3 linked regions of the Drosophila melanogaster genome follow. The protein of the gene in region 1 interacts with the protein of each later gene in a pairwise test. Each region holds a gene or a part of one and is shown in the gene's direction. Other genes may lie near its edges. The genes, in order: ppk23, CG7231 and CG4853.

Region 1 (8,376 bases):
AACAGCAGGCGGATAAATCAGAAACGGTCTGGAACTTTGCCCATCTGCATCAGTATTTCGATTCGATGGCCGGCGAGCAACAGCAGCAACTCCGAAAGGATAAAAATGAGGCTGCGGGAGCAACTTCGCCATCCGCCGGAGTCATGACTCCGTACACATGCGTAGAGAAGTCGCTGCAAGTGTTCGCCAAGCGCATCACTAAAACGTTGATCAACAAAATCGGCAACATGGTGTCCATCAACGACACGCTGCTCTGTGAGCTCAAAAGACTGAAATCGCTGATTGTCAGCTTCAAGGTGTGCATAAAATAATGAATAACTCAGCATTAACAACAAATAATATCGATATTTAACCATTTTAGGATGATGCCCGCTTCATTAGCGTGGACTTTAGCAAGGTGCATTCACGTATCGCCCACCTGGTGGCCAGCTATGTGACCCACTCGCAGGAGGTCAGCGTAGCCATGCGTCTACAATTGTTGCAGATGCTCCGAAGTTTGCGGCAACTGCTGGCCGACGAGCGTGGTCGAGAACAGCATTTGGGCTGCGTGTGCGCTAGTCTATTGCTGATGCTGGAACAGGCGCCGACATCCGCCGTGCATCTACCAGACACTCTGAAGACCGAGGAGCTATGTTGCGCCGCCTGGGAGACGGAGCAGTGTTGCGCCTGTCTGTGGGACGCAAATCTCAGCCGTAAGACCAGTCGTCGAAAGCGCACTAAGTCGCTGCGGGCAGCTGCTGTTGTTCAGTCTCAGGGTCAGCTTCAGGATACTTCGGGATCGACAGGGTCGTCCGCCTTGCACGCTTCGCTTGGTGTGGGATCGACCAGTTTGGGAGCATCGAGGGTCGTGGCGTCCGCTTCGAAAGATGCTTGGCGCCGTCAACAAAGCGACGACGAGGACTACGACAGCGATGAGCAAGTAATCTTTGTGAGTATCAGTGTTTAGTACTGTTGTCCTTCTCCTAAACATTTTTGTTGTTTTTTTTTTTCAAGTTCGACTGCACTAATGTTACGCTGCCTTATGGAAGCAGCAGCGAGGACGAGGAAAACTTCCGTACGCCGCCGCAAAGCTTGTCGCCAGGTATTTCCATGGATTTGGAGCCGCGTTACGAGTTGTTTATTTTTGGGTGAGATTAATCATAGTTTAGAATGTTTCTTTATAGACTACATTTTTTAACATTCTAGAAACGAGCCAACCAAGCGAGATTTGGATGTGCTGAATGCCCTTTCCAATGTCGACATTGATAAGGAAACACTGCCGCATGTCTACGCCTGGAAGACTGCCATGGAGAGCTACTCCTGTGCTGAAATGAATCTGTATGTTTATTATCATCATGATAGGGTTTTTGTAATGACTTTTGCTCACTTATATTAAAGCTTCCCATCCCCAAGGAACGTCAAGGTTCAAAAGCCGGAGCCTTGGTATTCTGGAACCAGTTCTAGCCACAACAGCCAACCATTGTTGCATCCCAAGCGTCTGCTTGCCACGCCAAAGCTGAATGCCGTGGTCAGCGGCAGACGCGGATCCGGACCATTGACGGCGCCAGTTACACCGCGTCTGGCGCGAACTCCGTCCGCCGCCAGTATTCAAGTTGCATCCGAGACGAATGGCGAGTCGGTCGGAACTGCTGTGACTCCGGCATCGCCGATTTTGAGTTTTGCCGCCTTGACGGCAGCGACGCAGTCATTCCAAACACCATTGAACAAGGTGCGCGGCTTGTTCAGCCAATATCGGGATCAACGGTCCTATAACGAGGGGGACACGCCGCTGGGCAATCGGAACTGAAACGGAATCGGCCCGGAAACAGAAACAGAAACAGCGACTGATTGATGAAAGGCCGACTGCATACTTACCCCCCTGAATAGCCGGTGTCGTCCATTGTCCCTTTTAATGTTAATCGCATGTATATTATTTTTTTTTATACATTATGAATACAAAAATCGTGAAAAGTGAAATAAAAAACGAAATCTTTGCTACCAAGTACTTTGCAACAGATAAGGAATTCATTAGTTGTATAGTTCGCAGCAAATTGAATCAAGTGCTTTTCTAAATATGTAATTTCCCAATTCATTTTGGTGTGGTGGGGCTATCAGTTTGGGGACTGCGACTAAAAGCGAAATTACCGCAACAAATTGTGGCAGAAGAGCGCCGTAGAAAGCCATAAAAGCAATTACCATTAATCACACAAACGGACGGACAGTGGAATGGACACCTGGACGCTGGGTAAGATCGCGACTGAAAAGAGCATTCTTCGCCACCGATCGATCTTGGTGTTCGATGCAATGCAAAACGAGAAACTGAAACCGCTCGGCTCGGGAAAAAAAAAAATAAAATGCAACGAATTCAACGGAAGGGAAAGGAAAGCAAAAAATGTTTATCGAAGTCAGTATACGTATACCCATAGATTCTGCCCCAGCTCAGGGGATCCCCTCGACGATCCCGATCCCGGCCAGGTCTCGTTTACTCTCAATTTCTTATTTATGAGAGTGCTCTTGATGGTGGCAGCGCTACATCAGAATGGGTATGCTCGACTTTTGTTGGGGGACGCACTGACAACAGGTGTAAGATGATTGCGGTACATACCCATGACCCATGAAATTTACCATTTTCTCAGCATAAGGATAATATACGAAGGCCAAAAACAGAAGGTATGCGATAGTCGACGCTCAGATACTCATCGCTCTGTAAGCTTCTACAAATTTGAGGTATGCAGTAAATACGGTACATTTAAACTAATATCAGTTGCTTTACTGTTACTTTTTTTAACATGCTCATTATTTTTAGAGACTGATACCATAGGGTATCATCGGTTCGCCACGTGCCCATCGAAGTGCTTCTTCGTTGGTGTCTTTTGGTTTCTGCTCCTCTTCTTTTGTCAACTGGAGCAGAGGCAGGTGGGGCAGGTACGTGGGGCAAGCGGCATGTGGCTGGGGTAGATGGTTGGGGCAGCGAACAAATTTGTTGCAATTGCCGTTTCGCTCAGTGGTCGGGCCACTTTTCAATGGCAGGGCTTTGACAAATGATCGCTGATAAGAAGCCGAACCGAGGGAGAATACTAAAAGCGAAACAAATTGAGAGGCTATAAGGCGGGATCTGGTGGAGCGTGGGAAAGGATTGGGGGCGAGGGCGGGGGTTTTTTTGGCCATAAGTGGGTCGCAATGCCAGTAAGGAGTATTTTTTATCCATTATGCATTCGATCTCCGTTTTGGTTTTGGAATCTAGTTATGGTGTTATGAATCTATAACGAAGTTAGATATTTCTTCATATATTTTAGGGTTGGATAATATAAGCTATTAGCTTTTAGATATTTATTTACAGAAATGCTGAAATGACACGTTATACTGCTTTCTTATCGTCTTGAAAGGTTTGTTTTTTCAAAAGAATATTATTATGTAATGTATATATGTTGCCTAACTAAATTAAGTTCCCATTTTATTTGTTTAATCTAATTATGAGAAAAACATCGAGTAAGAAAGACATGGTGGTTCCTTAACCTACAGCTATATAATAATATAATATATGCAATGCCCAGACGACGCACGGTTACTGAAGGGGAGCGGAGTAAAAGGGCCTCCCTCCAACCGACTGGCGCCAGTGGCTCCGATTATCTGACCACCGCCATCAGGGTCAACTCATTCCAGCAGTTCTTTTGTTTGCCCCAGCTCCAGCAGCCATAACCCAAAACCCAGAGTCCCGAAAAATCCAAAACCCATTCCTCGACGCTTTGTGAAACTTGAGAACACTTAACGATTGCAAACAAAAAAAAAAAAATAATAATAAAAATAAACAAATCATATGAATAAAAAAGGGAAAAGAGAGGCGAAAGAGCGAACAAAGAGAGTCCGGGCCGTGTCAGAATTTCACACAAAACTTGTGAAGTTCCTCCGATCCTTGGAGTGAAGTGGCTTTCGGTGGAGTGGCCAGCACAGCCCTATCCCTATAAAGGAATATGTGATTTTTTTTTGCGGAATGCAAGGCGGCGCCGGAAGCTGTTCAGACAGCCCCGACCAATTAGCCAGCCATTTATGCAGCCAGCAATCCATCAAGCCTTCAAGCCATCCAACCAGCCAGTCATCAATCCATCCAAGGCAGCTGCATTCGGTAACTGGACTAACCCACAATTGCGCAGGACTTTAGCCATATCACTGACCCCAATCTAGTCGATGTCGGTACGAAAAGTTGGTGGACTCATTACTGAAATGCATTTAAAAATACGCTGATCTGATATAAAACTATTTTCTTTGCTTATATTTTATTCTAAGAGCTTATTTGAATTAAAGATAGTTTAAATATTAATTGTATTTTAAATGAAAAGGGTTTCATTAGCTTATATTATCATTTTACATTTTCTATGACTTAGAATTTGTATCTTGATTTTTACAATATTTTGTAATTAAAAAACCTTTCATTAATATTCACCTATTATTGTTTTAGGGTACAAAGATCTAGATAGTCCCTGGTAACTACCACAATCCAAAAAAACAATCAGACGCATGCAAACGGCATTACGTGAACAATGAAAGGCTTTTAGGACCTGCAAATGGAACCACACGCAGGTGGACTAATGATACACGCATCGATTTGGCATTCGATGTATTTCCCTGGGTTCAGTCGTAATGTTGACTTTGGATCCGATGCTAGGGCATCAGTTTTGAGTTCACTACCAAGCCGCGTCGGCGAGCAATGTTCCTGAAACGGAAATGCCGCAAGAGAAACGCCATCCGCCGGAGTCCAGGACGCAGCGCTTCCTCGAGACTTTGGTCATCTTTCGGCGCAGCCTCATCTACCAGACGAAGGAGTTCTTCCAGAACTCGACGCTCCACGGAGTGCGATATATTGCCGAATCGGGCCGACCTATCGGCGAGAAGTTCATGTGGTTCTGCTTCACATCCATAGGAGCGGTCACCGCGCTGGTCATCATTATGAGCCTCTGGGAGAAGTTCCAGACCAATCCGACAATCACTGGCCTCGACACCGACTTCCACAACCAGAACGTGGTCTTCCCCACCACCGTCGTCTGTCCGGAGGCGGCGTTTGACCACGACAAGACCTACGAGAAGGTTTACAATACACTGGCGTGAGTACGGAGATATCATAAATATCTTATAGATTGAAACTATTTCTTTAAACATTACGCAATAATGCAACTACTTTTATGTACATACATATGTTGATTTACATTAAGTGTATGACATTTTGTGATTACAGTAACTACGATGAGGCCCAGGCCCAAATGTATACCCCGTTTCTGCGGATTTTGACCTCCCTGAACTTCGAGAACGTTCGGGACGCCAAGGTGCTGTCGCAGTCGATTCCGCAAAACCTGCTAGATGCGCACACCATCCGGGAGTGGGCTTTCGAGGGTCACATCGACTGCAAGAACGTCTTCGTGTCCTGCAAGTATCGCGACGAGGACATACCCTGTTGCGACCACTTCGAACCAATTTACACGGAGCACGGCTTTTGCTACGCCTTCAACAGTCGTTTCAAGTCCACGCCCACTGAAGAGTAAGTTTCGCGGAATCGGAATCCAATTTGATCTGCGTTTTATTAAGTATATGTACTTTGTTGTGTAGCGTTAAGACCGGAGCACCTCATGACCTCTACGAAACCGACAAGAAGTGGGCGCTCTTTTTCATACCCAACAGCACTTCACGTGTAAGTTGTTCATAACCATATACTACTATATACTAGTATAGTAGTTATCCCAATATAAAAGTTCCTATACAAGTATATTTCGCATAATAATGAATTTGAATAACACATCTTCAGATCTTTATCTTTTCCAACGAGGAGTACTTCGGTTCGGATTTCAATGCTCAGATCGATTGGTCGGAACCCCAGTTGGTGGAGGTGAGGATATCCAAGAAGAACACCTACACCACGGACGATGCTCGCCAGCTGTCCATTGGCCAGAGGAAATGCATCTTCAGTGACGAGGTGAAGCTCAATTATTTTCCAGACGCCTACACATTCTCCTCCTGCATGAAGCAGTGTCGCATGAACAAGGCCATCAAGTTGTGCAAGTGCAATCCGCCCTTTTATAAACCCATACGTGAGTTGTCATGTGTAATTAACATATTTACAAACCTTATTGCATACATATTATTATTATATTTAACGCCGAAAGCTAATGTGCCTATGTGCTCGATCAAGGACTTCGATTGCCTCGATGAGTTTAAGAGCAACATTACGAACATCAAGGATTGCCTGCAATGCGAGCTCAGTTGCTCGAAAACCGTTTTCAACATCGATAAGCTGATCAAAATGTTAGTTTTTCCAAATAGGTGTATCTATGATGTAACCAGAGGATGTAATGATGTATGATGTAATTTCAGGTCGGATCGACCGGAGAGCTTAGGTGTGCTGGTCGAGTTTCTCACCTGGCCGATTATTCGCTATAAGCGTGAGGTCCTTTTCGGCTGGGTTGATCTGTTGGTGTCCTTTGGCGGAATTGCCAGCCTTTTTCTTGGATTTTCACTGCTTTCGGGTGTGGAGATTATATATTATTTTACGCTGCGAGCCTGCTGCATGGTCTATAAAAATCGCGTAAATTATGCCAATAGAATATTCCAATCAACTTCCATCTAAAATGTGAATAAATTTCAGCAAGAGCTTTACGAAATCGAGGAGAAAATCCGTCAGGAGCCGCCACCCAAAATAGATCTGAAACTGAGTTTAAAATCCCACAATCCAAGGATCGGAGACACGCCCACTTCGGCGGTGCTGAAAGTGAAACCGGCGGAGGAGTCCGCAGGACCAAATCCTTTGGGTGGTTATCAAAGAAAACACGAAAAGGTTAGTCTCTAAAAAGTCTCTAAAAAACTAGCATCATTGATTGCACTTTCACAAAAACGCTTTTTCAGGACTACTCCCTCAACACAAAGAACTATTATAAAACACCCAAAGTTGTACCCGACTATGGATATACAAGCAAAACGAAAAATTCCTGGACAACTTATGATCATTCTCAGTACATGCCCTGAAGCTTAAATAGTAACAAAAAGTAACAAAATATTTAAAAAAAAAAGTTATGTAGTGGCTTATGTTTAAGTTATGCCAATTGCCAGTCCTTGAACGAGAAATGTAATGGAATTAACAAAACAAAACAATAACCAAAAAAATTTAAAAAAAAATGTATTTAACATTTTTATGTGCTTCAAATATCTGTGTTTCTACATATTTCAATTTGGCCTTTTGATATATTGCTTAAAGGGTTTCAAATAATAATTGAATAATTTAATACAATTATTTCAAGCACAGCTGTACTCAATGTAAGCTACCAACAAATACTTAACCATCAATGAATATTATTGCGCACCAGCTGTTGCGAGAGCAAATACTCTTATCATGTAGCAAACTTCTCTCTTTTTTTAATAAAGATATATTGTATCACGCAGATATGCACCAGCAATAAAGAAATATCCGCTAGTAAAATACCTTCGTCTGCCGCTGGAATGTTTCGATGGGTTTTGCTCCCAATTAAACTTCAGTTCTGTGTTGCATACTTAGCGGCGCGGCGGGTTCACTGCACCATGGTGGTTGACAAAGCGATGGGTTGGGGGAGCAGGTAGATGGCCGGGTGGGCGGTGGTAAACTAACCGCCGACCCGTCCGCAAAACTCCCATCTTTAGATCCAACTGCATCTGTGGCTCCCAGCCCGAAACTCAAACCCACTACCAAATCCCCGGCATTCAGTCGCAGCTCAGCAAAGGCGAAAAGCATTTTTCAGTTAACATCGTTGCTGGCTCATTGTTAATTCCCCCCAGTGCTGCCCGCTATTAGCCCTTAAAATGGCTAGGATTGTGTTCTAATTGCTTCCGGTTTAATAAGCCAATTTTGTTTGTTAAATTATATGGACAAATAATGTTGAATATGCAATAAGTCGGTAAAATGTGCACTACTATATATGTAAATCTGTGTTGTTCGATTTTAAGCGGTCGGCTTAACGTTAAAATTTTAATTCATTTATTTAGTTTATAGTGCTTTTTCATTAATGTAATGTTTTGAAAAAACCGAAAATCTGTTGTTTCCGATACCACTTAAAAATCAACATATTTAATTTTAAAATAGTTACGAATTGCGGCAAAATTGCATTTTGCAAACAGCTACACTTACAGCACTGACGTGCGACAAAAAGAGAGAGGAAGGGAGTGTGCGAGAGAGAAGGCTATGCGGACTCCCAAAGCGGCCAACAGGTGGAGCGTGGTGGTGGTCGTAGTTGTAATTGCAGTTGTAAGCCGCGTAGTACGCAACGGAGTCTGCTTTTCCGTTTTTCCGGGGGTTGGATGTGTATTTTTCCAGTCTCGCATTCAATTTGCGCGATTTCCCCCCACCATTTGCATATTTCTGTGAATGAAACCGCCGCATAGTTT
Region 2 (8,376 bases), on another chromosome or scaffold:
TTACCCCTGATGGTATTAAACCAAATCCTATTAAAGTTAAAGCCATAGTTTCATACCCAATTCCGACAAAAGTAAAAGAGATAAGAGCTTTCCTTGGATTAACAGGTTATTATCGCAAATTTATTCCAAATTACGCAGACATAGCAAAACCCATGACCAGCTGCTTAAAAAAAGGAGCAAAGATAGATACACAAAAACTTGAGTACATAGAGGCATTCGAAAAACTTAAGGCTTTGATAATTCGTGACCCAATTTTACAATTACCTGATTTTGAAAAGAAATTTGTTTTAACCACAGATGCAAGTAACTTGGCCCTCGGGGCTGTCCTTTCTCAAAACGGTCATCCTATATCTTTTATTAGTAGAACACTTAACGATCACGAATTAAATTACAGTGCTATCGAAAAAGAATTACTTGCCATAGTTTGGGCCACAAAAACTTTTCGACATTATTTACTAGGACGACAATTTCTCATTGCCAGTGACCATCAACCTCTTAGATGGCTTCATAACTTAAAGGAACCGAATGCTAAGTTAGAAAGATGGAGAGTTAGATTAAGCGAATACCAATTTAAAATAGATTATATTAAAGGGAAAGAAAATTCAGTTGCCGATGCATTATCAAGAATTAAAATTGAAGAAAATCATCATAGTGAAGCTACTCAACATAGTGCAGAAGAGGACAATAGCAACCTTATTCATTTAACAGAAAAACCAATAAATTATTTCAAAAAACAAATAATCTTTATTAAATCCGATAAAAATAAAGTAGAGCATTCAAAAATATTCGGTAACTCCATTACCACAATTCAATATGATGTAATGACACTTGAAAAGGCCAAACAAATTTTACTCGATCACTTTATCCATAGAAACATTACCATTTATATTGAGAGCGATGTAGATTTTGAAATTATTCAAAGAGCACACATAGAAATTGTTAATACCACCTACACAAAAGTAATTCGCAGTCTTTTCCTATTAAAGAACGTTGGTTCATACGCCGAATTCAAAGAAATCATACTTCAATCACATGAAAAACTTTTACACCCTGGTATACAGAAAATGACAAAATTATTTAAAGAAAATCACTTCTTTCCAAATAGCCAACTATTAATTCAGAATATAATAAACGAATGCAACATATGCAATTTGGCCAAAACAGAACATAGAAACACCAAAATGCCTTTAAAAATCACACCCAACCCGGAACATTGCCGAGAAAAATTTGTAGTAGATATTTATTCATCTGAGGGAAAACATTACATCAGTTGCATTGATATTTATTCTAAATTCGCTACACTTGAGCAAATTAAAACTAAGGATTGGATAGAATGCAGAAACGCATTAATGCGCATTTTTAATCAACTAGGTAAACCCAAATTATTAAAGGCAGACAGAGACGGAGCTTTCTCCAGTTTAGCTTTAAAGCGATGGCTTGAAGAAGAAGAAGTCGAATTACAGCTCAATACAGCAAAAAACGGGGTAGCAGACGTCGAAAGATTACACAAAACAATAAATGAAAAAATTCGTATAATCAATTCATCTGATGATGAAGAAGTAAAATTAAGCAAGATAGAAACAATCCTCTACACATACAACCATAAAATTAAACATGACACTACTGGACAGACACCTGCTCAAATTTTCTTATACGCTGGGCATCCCATATTAGACACTCAAAAAATTAAAGAGAAGAAAATAGACAAAATAAATGAAGACAGACAGGAATTTAATATTGACACTAATTACAGAAAAGGTCCACTACAGAAAGGCAAATTAGAAAACCCATTTAAACCAACCAAAAATGTAGAACAGACAGACCCTGACCATTACAAAATCACTAATAGAAATAGAGTTACGCACTACTACAAAACACAATTCAAAAAACAAAAGAAAAATAATAAACTCTCAATTTCACAGGCACCTGGTACCCGATAACACTATTGTTTATACTGATCACAGCTGTTCATGGACAACAAATTCAAATTAATAATATTGACACCAACCACGGATACCTCCTTTTTTCTGATAAGCCAGTACAGATACCATCCTCCTTTGAACATCACTCCTTAAAAATCAATTTAACTGAAATAGACATCGTGGTTGACTATTTTGAGCAAAGACTACGAACCGATTACCATGCACCCCAGATCAATTTTTTATACAATAAAATAAAAAGAGAACTAGCCGGAATAACCCTGAAACATAGAAACAAACGGGGTCTTATTAACATTGTGGGTTCAGGTTTTAAATACCTATTTGGAACACTAGATGAAAATGATCGAGTCGAAATACAGAAAAAACTTGAAATCAACGTCCATAACTCAGTAAAATTACATGAACTCAACGACGCCATACGATTGATAAATGACGGAATACATAGAAGATTTGGAAATGGCTATGCAGCTTTCCAGACTTGGACTGTTTAACCCCAAATTACTAAACTACGACAAACTTGAAAATGTGAACAGCCAAAACATTTTGAACATTAAAACATCCACTTGGATTAACTACAATGATAACCAAGTATTAATCATATCCCACATACCCATTTACCTTTCACTAATAAGCACAATTAAAATAATTCCTTACCCAGACTCCAACGGCTATCAGCTAGATTACACAGACACACAATCATATTTTGAAAAAGAAAATAAAGTTTATAATACCGAAAATAAAGAAGTAAAAAATGAATGTGTCACCAATATTATTAAACACTTAAATCCAATTTGTAATTTTAAGCCAGTACACACGAACGAAATAATAAAATACATAGAACCAAACACAATTGTAACCTGGAACTTAACCCAAACAATTCTTAACCAAAATTGCCAAAATTCAATTAATAAAATAAAAATAGAAGGAAACAAAATGATAAGAGTAACGCAATGCAAAATAGAAATCAATAATATAATTTTAAGTGAAAATCTGTTAGAACCAGAAATAGATTTGACATCACTATACACACCACTTAATATAACAAAAATAAAAATTGTAAAACACAACGACATTGTTGAGATGATTTCAGAGAACAATATTACACTTTACATACAAATGATCATTGTAATAATCGCACTAATTTTGTTGTACTCATATTTAAGATATGTATCATTTAAACCATTTATGATGCTGTATGCAAAACTTAAAATAAGAAAAAATCAAAATCAAAACACACCACAACAAACAGAAATAGAAGAAACTCCATTTCCCACACTATATCCATCAATCCCAGCCCAAGTATAGGCTTCTCTTTAAGGGAAGGGGAGTGACGTATTTGGGTGGTCCAAACCAGCCACTTCCATTATTTCAAAGAAATCAGTAATGCACTCTAGTAATTTTCCATAACGTATCCCAGCTGCGCAGCATTCGTTTATCTTTGGCAGCGCAGCCGTTCTTGTAAACATCCTAAAGCCTGACCTAAGCAGATTTGACTGCCCTCTTTCAACGCTACCTAATCTTAAGAACCCAAGAGCGAGGCTCTCCCGAAATACAAATATTGTTCAAATACTGAGGCTTCTCCTCAATCCAATTTGCATTTGATTTTTAGTCTTAAGCTGAGATCCAAAGAATAAAGTCGTGAAACTATTTCTCCTAAAACTATTTTTTATTTCTTGGCGTTGTCCTTAGTCAACTGACGGGACATTAGTTCGACTCATAAATAAAACAACAATTTTACTATATATTTTCAATTTTTTTTTTCGCAAGCGTCGCACGTGCGAGCTTTTCCCCCGATATTTATATTCGCCACTCACACACACGCGCACCGAGAGCGACACGTCCGAACGGTTCCAGAGCCGTTAAATTTTCGAACTAAAACTGAGTGTCGGGGGTGTAGTGTGGCCAGTTCTTCTAGCGCTCGTTTCGGTAAAGTTTGTGCTCTCGCTTATTGGCCGCATTTCTTGTGTACCGCCGCATGGTCACTCTAGTGCCGCTCTTTGAACCGCTCTCTTACGTTTTCTCTTCTATTACTGCTGCTCATTTAACAGAAATGTTAAAATGCAACGCTTTTCTAACAGAGACCGCGGTCTAAACTTATTTAAATAACATTTTATCTTTTAATAAGCAAATAAATGTAAATCGTACTTAATGAAATATATGATTTTACAAGATGTGTGGTAATAATTTCCATAAAAACGTTTGTTTGTTCTTTCTTCTTTATAATGTAGTAACTAGTTTAACTAGTCCGCGAGTTCATCGGATAACGTGACCACTTAAAAGATTAGATTTTGGGATATGCGGATAGATTGTCACTACCAATTTACAATACTTAATCAATGTTTAATTAAATCAGCAAATGCTATCGATAAGCCAAACTGAAAAATTGCCATTTAGTTCGTTTCTAACCGTGGCGGTCCCAAGTTCATGATCAAGTGCCCTTAGACCTATAGAAAAAATGGACTCAAAAATTACCTTTCTACTTACAACGCTACTATTTGGTAATTCGTATTTTTGCACTTTTCAAAATCATTACATATCATCATTTTTTAATGTTTTTAACTCATGTACATACGACCCCTGGGTCGCTTGGAAACATTAGGATCCAGACAGTTTAGTTTTGACATAACTTAAAAAAACTAACAGGTATCTGATAGTCGATGCTCCTGTACTCAATTAAAACATTTAAATCTGACGAGTGTGTTGGGTAACATTACTTGATAATACATTTACACAATCGCAAAAAGGGGGTAAAACGTAAAATAGCAACATTTTGTTATTTTTTGTCAATAAGTTGTCATGTAAACTCTTAGAGCTAGGGTATATGAGCGTCGGTCTCTTGAAGTTAAGCACATTTCTCGCCATTCTCACTTCACGTCTGCTCTCTACGCTTGCGCCATTGCACAGCTGACAGATTGAAGAGAATTATTGATGTGCAGTTGCATTGCAGCATTCGGTGAAAGCGGAAGAAGGGCACAACGCGCTTTGCATTCCATAAAAATCGCATAACAAAGGGAGTTAATTAGAGTCCATTCGCGCACACATACATATGTACACGCTCATTGCGAAGTAAACAAATTCACATTGGATTGGATTGCATGTGTTTGCGTATCAATTCTCGCTGGTAGGGTGGTAAGGAAGGCAAATGGGCTTATCTACGCGTATCTGCCATATTATGCCCTCTGTGCGTCCCATTGTCCAATTGTGGAATATTAATGCCGTCTATTTCACGTCCACTCGCAGTGCTCGTGGCCAAAATCAATGGGTCTGCTCTGAACGCCAGCAATTATCAGTACCAAGTGGTGGTCGAGCAGACAGCGCCAGACGATTCCCAGATCGAATATATATTCCTCAAACAGTCGGATATGATGAAGGTATGGGGCACAAATCTCACTGCCATTACCTGGGCCCATGCCGTCAACAGCCAGCAATTGCTGGACGAGGTCCTAACCGAAACCAGTAAGATCATTGGCCAAATATGCGCGTGTAACCAACTTATCAATAGTATCATTTCCCTGCCCAAGGTGGCATTGACTTCATCGAAGCGGACATTGTGCTGGGCAAACTGAATGGCGATGGCGAGGACATGCCCATAATGGCCCATCCGCCGGCCAATGTCTCTGATCTTACGCTGTCGGAATTTCTCAACCAGATCATTAATTTCAACCGTGATCATGAGGACCAAAAAAAGGGCGTTAAGCTCGACTTCAAGTCGATCGAGGTATTCGAGGGTTCCCTGGACATTCTGGACGTGAATATTCCGAACGTAAGTTTGGTCATCGAATCTCAGATATCAGAACAAATTAAACAATATCTCTGTGTTGTGCAGCCTACCACGTATCCTGTGTGGATAAACGCCGATATTCTAAGTGGTCCCGTGGAACAGAATAGAACCGTACCCGTTGATGCGGACCGATTCTTCGCCGGCTGTATGCGCTACAAACAGGCAGTGCTCTCCATTGGCTGGACAACTAACTGGGGAGCCGACTTCCGGGATGGCGAGTACACGCAGCAGCAGTGTGATGACATGCTGGAAACGCTGAGCGAGAACAATGTCCTATCCACTGGCCAGGCCATAACCTTTCCCGTGCGCGCTGGCATTGCCGCCAACAGCGAGGAGCAACTGCATCGACTGGTGGCCGCGGTGAACGAGACAAACGAGAGCACCCTGACCATCTGGTCGTCTGCCGGTGACTATGTGGATGTGGATAAGTTGCGCAAACTGATCTTCAGCTTCGGCTTGGATAGAGTCTATCTGGATGTGCCGGAGGAGCTGGCCTCACAATTGAACCTGGACAATCCCGGCAACGGAGCCAGCACCTTCAAATCCCTGTTTGGCTTCAGTTTCATGAGCCTTTGTTTTTGGGCTCTGTCCAGCTGGATGCAGCGGTTATAATATACGTAATTAATATAAGTACGGTAATCAGAGCAATTTTTATACAACTTCCAGAAAACATAATTAAAACTTATACTTTTATGTGTTGACAGTTTTATTTTCGTTTAGGTGGAATTGTTGGAAATCGCCTTGGATGACGAGTCATCTTATATAAAAAAGATGAATTTTAAAACACATTTAATTATTCAAGTGTATTGTGTGGATTTAAAGAAACTTATTTAAGGGAATATGTTTCTCAAGGCAAAGACAAATGTAAAGTTTAATAGTAACAAATGTATAAATTGATTGGATTTCGAATTTAAAATTTATATGAAGATATGTTTGGATATTTTTTTTTCAGGGTCTCCATACGTAGTTTTAGTAACTACTGCCATTTTCAGAAAGTCCCTCTTTGATCACTTGATTTTAATAATTTTTTCTATTCATTTATCTTAAGGAATTTTTGGAAATATTTCCGGGGTTCACAGCTGTGCTTTATAATCTAGGTATTTAGATCTTACACTGATCGACATTTGTACATAGGATATGCGTAATCTTTGCAGTGCTAGCGTTATTTGTACAAGACTTAAAACAACAACTATAATTTTTAGTTTTTCGGCCTACCTATGTAAATGAGCAACAATTCTCGCTACCTATGTTCTCTGTTCAATATTATTTCTATATAACTTCAGATCAATCTGCATTAAAATCTTAAATATCGCTCTACAAATGTTATGCATTATTATATAAATATAAATACTTTGGGCATGCGCAGTTTAAACTTCAAGAATTAAGGAAAATGAGTAATGGGGCGCTCTAAGCGAGTCGCTCTATATACAATTTAGTTTATCCTACTAAAATAGTTAATGACTTTTTGCTTGCGTTTTCTGCTGTTATTTGGCACTAAAATAAATAATCTTATAAATCTCTCTCGCTGTCCGCAAAGCGTGCAGATGTGTTGAGGGAACTCCTAATGCGATTGGGGCATGCGTGGTAGGTAATGTGGTGGTATGTGACGTGAATTGGAACGACATCCTCGATGAGCAACTTGGTCCAGCCTCTTAGAGCCTGGCTAAGGCAGAATGGTTTCATCACGTTGTTCTAAGCTATTCTAAGCTACGGCGACGTAAATGAGTCTCAGGCAGATGATCGTTGGCGGCACCGTCAGAATGGCTTGATGCCAACGCATGTATTATCTAACTACAACATCGGGCGAGTCCTCGCTGATCAGACGCTCCCTGTGCGAGCTTTCCATGGTACCACTCTCCAGTCTTATGCCAGAATCGCGATTATAATCCAGTAGGCGCACTCCCACACGCTCGTTGCCCGATGAACTAATGTTGTTCCGGAATAGTTGGGCCACCGGCGCTGTGGCTGCCGACGAATTTACACCAAAGGCGTTCAGTGGTCGCAGGACACTGGCCTTCGCCTTTGGATCGCTGTGACAAAAGTGCGTCACTTGTCGCGTCGGGTACCAGCAGGTGCATATAAGACCGCCCGCCAAAAGGATGCCGGTTACTATCTGCCCCAGCAGGACAATTAGCGGAACAAGCGCAATGTCTGCGGCAATTTCCTCTGATACGCGTACGCGCTCCTCGCACCACATCATGGGTATCATGACCGTCGGGACATTCTCATACAAGCTGAAAGAAAATGAAAATATTAGTTTATGTAAGGAAAAGGCTTATGTAAAGGTCAAGTTACTTACGTAATACCCGGAATTGGCTCCATGTAGTAGTTGGCCTGAAAGCCACCACCCACGTCCATTGGCACGCCCGCATTGGGCTCCAGGGCCATGAAGAACTCGTGCTTCTCGCGTTCTGGTCGCAAACCCTCGATGGCCTCCAGATAGCTTGGATCCGCCATGTAAAAGTGCGGAAAGGACATGTAGACGGATGCGTTAAAGGAGCAGGGTCCGATATTGATCACACCGCTGGGCATACACTTTCCTCCGACGCAATAGCAACGGGTATCCGGATATAGAGTGCCATTGTCCACAGCGTGCCGGGTGCCACTGAATTTGTAGGCGGTCACGCCGTGCACGGTCACAGTTTCCACGTAGTC
Region 3 (8,376 bases), on another chromosome or scaffold:
GGCCGCCGAGGAATAAATAAATAAAAATTTCTCGGTGGGCTTACATCATGCTGCCCCATGTCCGCGTCTGCATTCAAATCTGCAAATCATCTTTCTTAATTTAAAGAGGATTCCGAGACGCAGACGCATCACATCAAGTTTTATGTGTGTCGGTGTCGTTCGCCCAACAATTGGATGAAGATGGAGTTGCGACTTTTAACCAAAAGATCCAAAAGGGGCCCCTGTCGAAGAACCCCCATCCCTGCCCACCTGCTGCTCCGTTCGTGGTCTCCATTCCCAGCTTCGTCCTCATCCTCATCTTCATCTTCATTTTGAGCTGCGACTTTGCGCATGCGCAGACGACTGACTTCGTTTGAAGTTCTGTTGACTGATGTTGTTGTGCGTTGTTGTTGCTCTGCTAAAAGTTGGTAATGAAAGAAGCACACACAGAACGAGGTGTACATATGTGTGGCCATATATGTATATATATATATATATATGTGTGTGGTATGTGCCAGCAGCAACAAAAGCAGCAGCAGATGCCAAGACAACCTTGAAATGTATAGCAGGGTCCAACGAACGAATATAAAAAAGGTTCTTTGGTTCCTTGGTTCCATGGTTCTTTGGCTCTCCAGGTTCTTGGGCTCATTATTTCCTTCTTCTTTTTTTTTCTACTTCAAGAATAAGCGAGAACAGTAAGTAACTGCTCGCCGGGAATGCCCCAATCAGGATAAATCTCTGGGGTAAACGACGGCTCCAGAAAGCAAAAGTGCCAGCCGATAAGAGGAGTATTTTTAAACAGCCCGAATGCGATTGAGTTGGAAGATAAAACCCGGAAGTTGCGGAAGTTGAAAGCGCTGGCGAAAGTTCCGACTTGGTGCGATTATATAAGGGAATCTCGCCGGTATGCAGTATCAGTGCAATCCAAACGCTTGCCTTGAAAACCATATCCTTTGCAACTAACCACACAATGAAAGTACTCCTGGCTTTAACTTTCCTGGCCACTTTGGCTCTTTCAGTGGCCCTTCCCCAGGTGGGACATGGATCTGTAAATGGACCCAGTGGGGTAAGTATTCCTCGGAGAAGCCAAGATGTTTTGTTAATTCTATGCATTTTCATATATGTGCACTCAGCGCTTCCCTATGACGAAGAATTGGGCGCAACCTCCGGTTGATTTGCGAAAACCCATTATCTTTCTGCCAGAGGCCACGCCCATTCACGAAGCCCAGGAGTCGCGCCCCCGACTAGCCAAACATCGCAAGAGTGGATAGATGCCAAGGAATACCTATTTATTATTTAAATTTAATAAGTATATGTTCGTAAGACAATCTGTTTCGTTGACATCTTATAGATGCGAATTATATTTAGCAAAACATTAGAAAAGTCAAGGAATTTCTGAAATATAAGTTAAGAAACATAGCACTAACTCGCTATAAAATAGCTTACATTCTAATAACTAAATTTGGCCTTCATTCGAATTAATTGAACATGAAGTTCACAAAAATTAGGTACAAAAACATTAATTTACTTTGGAGAAGGACGAAACATAATTTAATCTTGCTTACAAATTTACAAAATGCAACCAGTTTTTTTCGCGTGCTATATTTTATTGAGTTTTTGATAAATTTCGCTAATCAAACATTACAACATATATATATGGCGTGCTTAATGGCACTAACTAATGCTTAACTAATAACTTATTTAATTTAAAACATTAATTTCTGTGCCAGATATAAAACAAGTAAGGCAATGCAAATAAATTGTTTGATTGTAGCTGAAGAACTTTAAATTAAGTTCTTTATTAACCAGTTTGATACTCAACGAATTATAGCACCTGTTTCTCTGGCAGTTCAGATGGAGCTACTGTTTGTTGGTTCTTTTGCTATTAATCAAGACCCATTTTTATTTAAATTTATTTCTGAATTTATCAAAGATACTAGTTTCCCATATATGTATGTGTATGTATTACAATCAATGACGAATGAGCAGTATGAGTGCTTGAGCAGTTTCCCAAGTTACTAAATATTGAAGATAAATATTTCTAGAAAAAAAACAATCATTCCTAATTTGAATCTCTTATAGAAAAACACGTGCAGACAATATTTAATTGAAAACAAATCCTATGATTGGCCCTTTACCAGAAATAAGCAGAAACTTGATGAATATTCATTGCCTAGTTGACATAATTAATCCATAGTCACCTAATTTAGATAAAAAACTTGTTTTCCCAAACTGATTGGGGATCCCCCAAGGCACAAACGACGAATTTATTACATCTCAAAAGTATTCTAGCAAAGCTATTTAGATTTCATTTTAACGTAGCTACTGTTTCAAAACCCGAAAAAAATTGTGGAACCGACGTGTTAAATTAAAATGCAAATTAATATATTTGTTTAATATGCATGCATGACTATGTCAATCCATACAAAACACATTAATTAGTCACGACACTATTACAAATTGGGTAGGCTATAAAAGATCGGGAATTGGGATGGCCCCAAAAAAGTGGATCCAAGTCCATCGTCCACAAAGGTTGATTGACATAATTAATAATCGCTTGAACCGATACAGATCGTCACTCAACGGTGTTATAATTAATTGGAAACGGAACTCAAGCGGGTTTTGCTTTTAAGCTTCAAAATATACTCCATGCACTTCACGTAATACCTAATTTACACGAATTTAACAACGGGTTTTCGTCGAGTTCCGGTTTTTCCTGAAAGCATACGTTATCAAAAAGTGACTTGAGAAGTGATTAAAAGTGTTAATTGCAAACGAGAATCCGTGCGATCAAATATACGAATGCATTCAGATAGAAAGCAGCCCAAATGCGTAATCGTTCTATCACATAAAAGTCAAATAATCAAGATTTATCCACTTTATTAAACACACCCAATCTGGACCAAAATAGATTAAATTCTAATACTCTCCCATATTCCGAACCATCTTGCATGGCGCTAATGAACCGAGACGAGTTCCCAAACCACACGGCGAATATCGCTGGATCGGTCGGATCGCACACATCAAAACAGATATAGCACATACTCGTATACGATATGCATGGTATAATCAACGCGTTTCGATTTCTGTATAATTCCGAATCACTGGACTTGGGATTTATGGATTTGAATGGATCGGGTGGGGGCGAGGTTGGCCAGTTTATAGCCTGAAACCTACTAGTCTAATGGCTATATAAGCCCCGATCGACGGTCGAGACAAAAACATTTGTGTGGACCGTGCGAGCGCGTTAGGTTAGTCTATTGGGAATTACTTGCGATTACTCGCATCAGAAAAATTTGTGCAATAGTATCTCGTATTTGCAATAGACAAGCAAATCGGCTGATAAGCCGATCATATGCAATCAAATATAATTAGTGCATCGCCGTTTCACCCTTCGACTACAAAACCAGTCGGAACTAATAGTTTCGTCTTTTGGCAGATCAGTATGAAGCTTCTGTTGGTTCTTCCACTTCTGGTGGCTGTGGTCTCTGGCCAGGGATTCGGAGGCGGTGGATTTGGAGGCGGATTTGGAGGTGGACTCGGAGGCGGATTTGGAGGTGGACTCGGAGGCTTGGGCAACAATCGAGTGGGTGGAGCTTTACAAAATGTGGCCGGCGCCGTTCAGAATGCCGTGGGCAACATTGCCAAGGCTGTGCCCAAGGTGCCGCTGCTCTCAAACGTCCAGGACTTTGGTGACTTCTTGGTGAGATAGGCAGCATTGATCAATTTCAAAGGTAGAAGTAAAACTTCAACCGATTTGCAGAGCCAATCTGGAAAGACCTATCTCTCCGCCGCTGATCGCGCTCTTCATGAAGGTGCCTTCGCTTCCACCAAGAACCTGGTGGAAGCCGGAAACGCAGCCTTTGCCCAAGGAGTGCACACCTTCAAGCAGGCCGTGAACGCCTTCGCCGATCTGACCCACTCTGAGTTCCTTAGTCAATTGACCGGTCTGAAGAGAAGTCCGGAGGCTAAGTAAGTGCTAACAAACCATTTGCACAGCCGGCATAGGATTTTATCAATTCTATATCTGCACCCAGGGCTCGAGCTGCTGCCAGTTTGAAGTTGGTCAACCTGCCTGCGAAGCCCATCCCGGATGCCTTCGATTGGCGCGAGCATGGCGGTGTCACACCAGTCAAATTCCAGGGTACCTGTGGCTCCTGTTGGGCCTTTGCCACCACTGGTGCCATTGAGGGACACACCTTCCGCAAGACCGGCAGCCTGCCCAATCTCTCTGAGCAGAATCTGGTCGACTGTGGTCCGGTGGAGGACTTTGGCCTGAATGGCTGCGATGGTGGCTTCCAGGAGGCCGCATTCTGTTTCATCGATGAGGTGCAAAAGGGTGTGTCCCAGGAGGGGGCCTATCCCTACATTGACAACAAGGGCACGTGCAAGTACGATGGCAGCAAGTCCGGAGCCACCCTCCAGGGATTCGCCGCTATTCCGCCCAAGGACGAGGAGCAGCTGAAGAAGGTGGTGGCCACTCTGGGACCAGTTGCCTGTTCGGTGAATGGTTTGGAGACTCTTAAGAACTACGCCGGTGGCATCTATAACGACGATGAGTGCAACAAGGGCGAGCCGAACCACTCCATTCTGGTCGTCGGTTACGGATCGGAGAAAGGACAGGATTACTGGATCGTCAAGAACTCCTGGGACGACACCTGGGGCGAAAAGGGCTACTTCCGCCTGCCTCGCGGCAAAAACTACTGCTTCATTGCTGAGGAGTGCTCCTATCCCGTGGTTTAAGCGGGGAATCCGAAATTTATGGCAAAATTTACTGTGCAGTTTGTGATGTGGACTTGGCGTTGGTTGCGTCCATTTCTTAAATAAAAGTCTTTTCTTAATTATAATGCTGCTAAATTAGAGTAGTTAAACGAAAGTAATGCAATGCATTGCTTTGCTTAAATATTTACAGATAACAAATTAAAGAGGAATAAACAAGAATCTTTTGGAAATTTAAAACTATTCACGGGTTAATTGGGCACTAAACGAACTTTAGAGGAGTTCAGCAATTTGATGTGAACAATAACCAGACCTTTATGTCCAAACAAGAAGATCTAGATATTCGGGTAAATTAAAAAAATGTTTGGGGATAGTAACGGAAATAACGCTTGACATTTTAAAACCTGTTAAAAGCGTTGCCAGATGCGGATATTTACAGCAAGAAAGCAAGTAATCGATGATTTCCCCAGTTGGGGATATCGATTATTGCCAAATTTGTGTAAACATCGATGGTATCGCTGTACCGAGACAACAATAATAGAAATAAATTAAGTCAATTGGCGAATTAAACTATATTAGGCGCAGAAAAAACGGCGGACATTTGATGAGCAGCAGGCGGGGAATGCCGTGACGAAAGGCGGCAGTGCGTCCGATGGAAGGCCACCGCGCAACAGTGTTCCTGCAGGTGTGTCTGCTCCGGAAGCGATGTTCTGATCAGAAGAGACCAGCCCACTTTTGGGAAAGTGGGCGTTGTCACCAGAGCGCACGAAACCAAAGCCCCCGGCCACCTGTCTTTCTCCCACTGTGTGTGTGCTAATCGAGGTTTCCCCTTGCCCCTTCCTTTCCAGAAATGTACGCGATAGTGGTGCATGTGCATTGCGACTAATCCAAAGAGTCCCCCTGTGGTCATAACGCATTTAACAACCATCGCAGCCAAATAGTCACGTTTCTCCAGAGATCCCCGTGTGTCTGCACTTTCCCCATCCCCGATAACCCCGCCCCAAGCATGGACGAAGATATCCTAAACGCTGTGGAGTCCCTGTTCGGCAAGGATGTCAAGATCGTGGACTGCGAAACCTCATCCTCGCTGCAGCAGGAGGAGGTGTTGCTGGTCAACGGAGTGCCGGTGAAGCTGGATGGGCTGCCGGCGGATGATGCCAGTGCCATAAAGGCAGCTTTGCTGGAGGGGCAGATGCCATCGGTTGAGCACCTGAATCAATTGCTCTTCCGCGCCGGATTGGCCCAACAGCCCATCGAGGTAGAGACCTCGTTGACCGTCAAGTCCTCTCTGACCACCACGGAGGAGGTGCTGGTCTCGCGCAACGGACAAATCCTAGACGAACGCACCGTGGAGACCAAGGAAAACTTTAACCATCAGTCGCACCAGAAAGAGATCTGGCATCCTGTCAAGCAGCAGTCGGCCTTGGCGCGTGCCACTCCCGAGAATGCCCTCAAATACCGAACCACTTCGAATTCCACGTTCGCATCGCAGGCCACAGACTCGGACGAGCGTCCAGTTGATCCTTTGGGCCGGCAGCTGAACCAAACCTTCTCGAATGCTTCCCTTATGTCCAGCAGCTCTGCTATTACTGGATCCGATCAGGTCATCGGATCTGTATCATCCACCACTATTGGGGACAAAAGCTCGAATATAAGCAGCTGCGACTCCGGGCACGATGGCCTCTTCCACAGCGTGTCGATGAGTGCACCCTGGTCACATCCACGTGACACCTTAACCGACTCTTTGTACTGCGACATTCCCAGCTCCGCAGATGAGTCGGATGCGGTTTCTATCCTAGTAAGTTTGAACGGATTTGCCAGTCGCTAAATAACTAATAATTTACCTAAATTAGAACACCCACTTGAAGATCACAGAGCCATTCGATTGCCAAACAGCGCCAGTTTACGCCAAAGACATACCCAAGAAGGGCAACCTGGATTCGGTGGTCAACCTGCTTATCAATAATAATACTAAGGATTTGCGGTTTGCCTTTCTGACCACTTCCCGCTTGTTTTCACCACCACACCAGCTGCTTTCCAAAATCATTGCCAAGATTGATAATGAGGAGGAAAACGTGTTACGACTTTTGAACGAATGGCTAGACACCTGTCCCGGGGACTTTAGCCATGAACTGCTATTGCAGGAGCTGGAAAATAAGCGTAATGTAAAAGGATTGGCAGCTTTTTTGGATGGAATTCCCCAAGCTTTGGCGCAAAAGGACGAAAATGGACGAAGTCAACTAAATAACCTGCTTACCAAGCAATCGTCGGCCAGCTCGTTGGGACGTCAGAGCAGTATTAAGTCGCTGAAACGCTTTGCCGCCAATGTCTACAAAACAGACAATGTGCTAAACAACTGCAGCAGTGCCTTCGAGTTGGCTCACCAACTTTATGCCATCGAGTACGCCTATCTGTCACAAATACGTCTTGAGGAGTTTGTGGAAATCCTCGAAAAGGATGAGCTGAAGACCTGCATAAGCCAAACCAAGGCGGGCACCTTGGGTTCGAATTGCATCAGCCAGGTGACAATCGACAGTTACGTGCAGTGGTTCAACCAGCTAAGCTACTTGACTGCAACGGAAATATTAAAGGTGAGTACTAAAAAAAAAATTAACCATTAATCAAATAAAAAATATGATTCGTTCGTTCCTAGTTGGGCAAAAAGTCCCAGAGAGCACAAATGATCGACTTCTGGGTGGAAACAGCTCTGGAATGCTTTAACACAGGCAACTTCAACAGCTTGATGGCCATTCTAACAGCATTGAATCTTACTGCCATAGCTCGCCTAAAGAAAACGGTGAGTTTTCGTTAAGTAAAACGAGTGAAGTCTGATTTTACTACTATTTTTTATAGTGGGCCAAAGTGCAGACGACAAAGTTCGAGGGTTTGGAGCATCAAATGGATCCCAGTTCGAACTTTCTTAACTACAGATCCACCATGAAGGCAGCTGTTTGGCGTTCGGAAAGGGAAATGGCCAACGAAATTGAGCGTGCCATCATCCCATTCTTCTCGCTGTTCCTCAAAGATTTGCATGCCATTAACGAGAGCCATGAAACAAAGTGAGTTTGTTTGTGCATAAATGAGCTCTGTTTCGAGATTAACCGAATTCAAATCCGTTTGCAGATTGGCCAACGGATACATAAACTTTGAGAAGTGCCTTCATTTGGGCACCCAGCTGCGGAATTTTGGCAAATGGCAGCGATTGGACTGTCCATACGAGCAGTTGCCTAGTGTGGTGTCCTACCTGTTGAAGGCGGAGGTGCTGAGCGAGGATCTTTTGATGAAGGCCTCCTACGAAAGCGAGCCACCCGAGACCGGCGAGGAGAAGGATCACTACAAGACGTTGAAAGCTGCAAGGAAATCGAACACATAATCACCAATCATTAACGACAATCCTCGAGATAGTGCAATACAATACAAAACGATGCAATAATTCTCGCACTCTTTCGTTGGCGTTCCATTTTCACATTTTGCATTTGTATCGCGATAAAACAGTAACAATAATAACTCTTACACTTCCACTGTGTTTGTTAATTTGTACTTAAGCTTAGACGACGGTATATATTTATTTGCATTCGAATTATATATATACAAGTGACGGGCATTTAATTAGAAACACCAAAAATATGCATAAAATTACTAAAGTAATGTTTTAAATGTTGTATTTTAGCAGTTATA

What was found.
Region 2: the proteins of ppk23 (region 1) and CG7231 interact in a two-hybrid assay, tested with the Drosophila melanogaster proteins (one large-scale study listed by BioGRID).
Region 3: the proteins of ppk23 (region 1) and CG4853 interact in a two-hybrid assay, tested with the Drosophila melanogaster proteins (one large-scale study listed by BioGRID).

The regions. Positions count from the first base shown.
Region 1 is NC_004354.4:17,565,461-17,573,836, reverse strand, and holds ppk23 (pickpocket 23), read left to right. Parts: upstream 1-4,608; 5' UTR 4,609-4,701; coding exon 4,702-5,078; intron 5,079-5,209; coding exon 5,210-5,509; intron 5,510-5,577; coding exon 5,578-5,659; intron 5,660-5,773; coding exon 5,774-6,270; intron 6,271-6,339; coding exon 6,340-6,550; coding exon of another isoform or gene 6,551-6,592; intron 6,593-6,610; coding exon 6,611-6,799; intron 6,800-6,867; coding exon 6,868-6,987; 3' UTR 6,988-7,077; downstream 7,078-8,376. Other genes in the region: Ankle2, read left to right, coding at 1-296, 362-928, 994-1,127, 1,186-1,317, 1,378-1,786.
Region 2 is NT_033779.5:7,980,373-7,988,748, forward strand, and holds CG7231 (uncharacterized protein), read left to right. Parts: upstream 1-3,573; 5' UTR 3,574-3,866; intron 3,867-4,168; 5' UTR 4,169-4,395; coding exon 4,396-4,438; intron 4,439-4,902; exon of another isoform or gene 4,903-5,121; intron 5,122-5,180; coding exon 5,181-5,396; intron 5,397-5,461; coding exon 5,462-5,712; intron 5,713-5,766; coding exon 5,767-6,333; 3' UTR 6,334-6,413; downstream 6,414-8,376. Other genes in the region: pes (peste), read right to left, coding at 7,505-7,955, 8,021-8,376.
Region 3 is NT_033778.4:17,509,034-17,517,409, forward strand, and holds the start of CG4853 (uncharacterized protein), read left to right. Parts: upstream 1-5,183; 5' UTR 5,184-5,383; exon of another isoform or gene 5,384-5,546; 5' UTR 5,547-5,704; coding exon 5,705-6,496; intron 6,497-6,551; coding exon 6,552-7,289; intron 7,290-7,351; coding exon 7,352-7,495; intron 7,496-7,551; coding exon 7,552-7,757; intron 7,758-7,821; coding exon 7,822-8,071; 3' UTR 8,072-8,376. Other genes in the region: CG34193 (uncharacterized protein), read left to right, coding at 950-1,045, 1,113-1,250; CtsK2 (cathepsin K2), read left to right, coding at 3,335-3,682, 3,743-3,951, 4,017-4,722.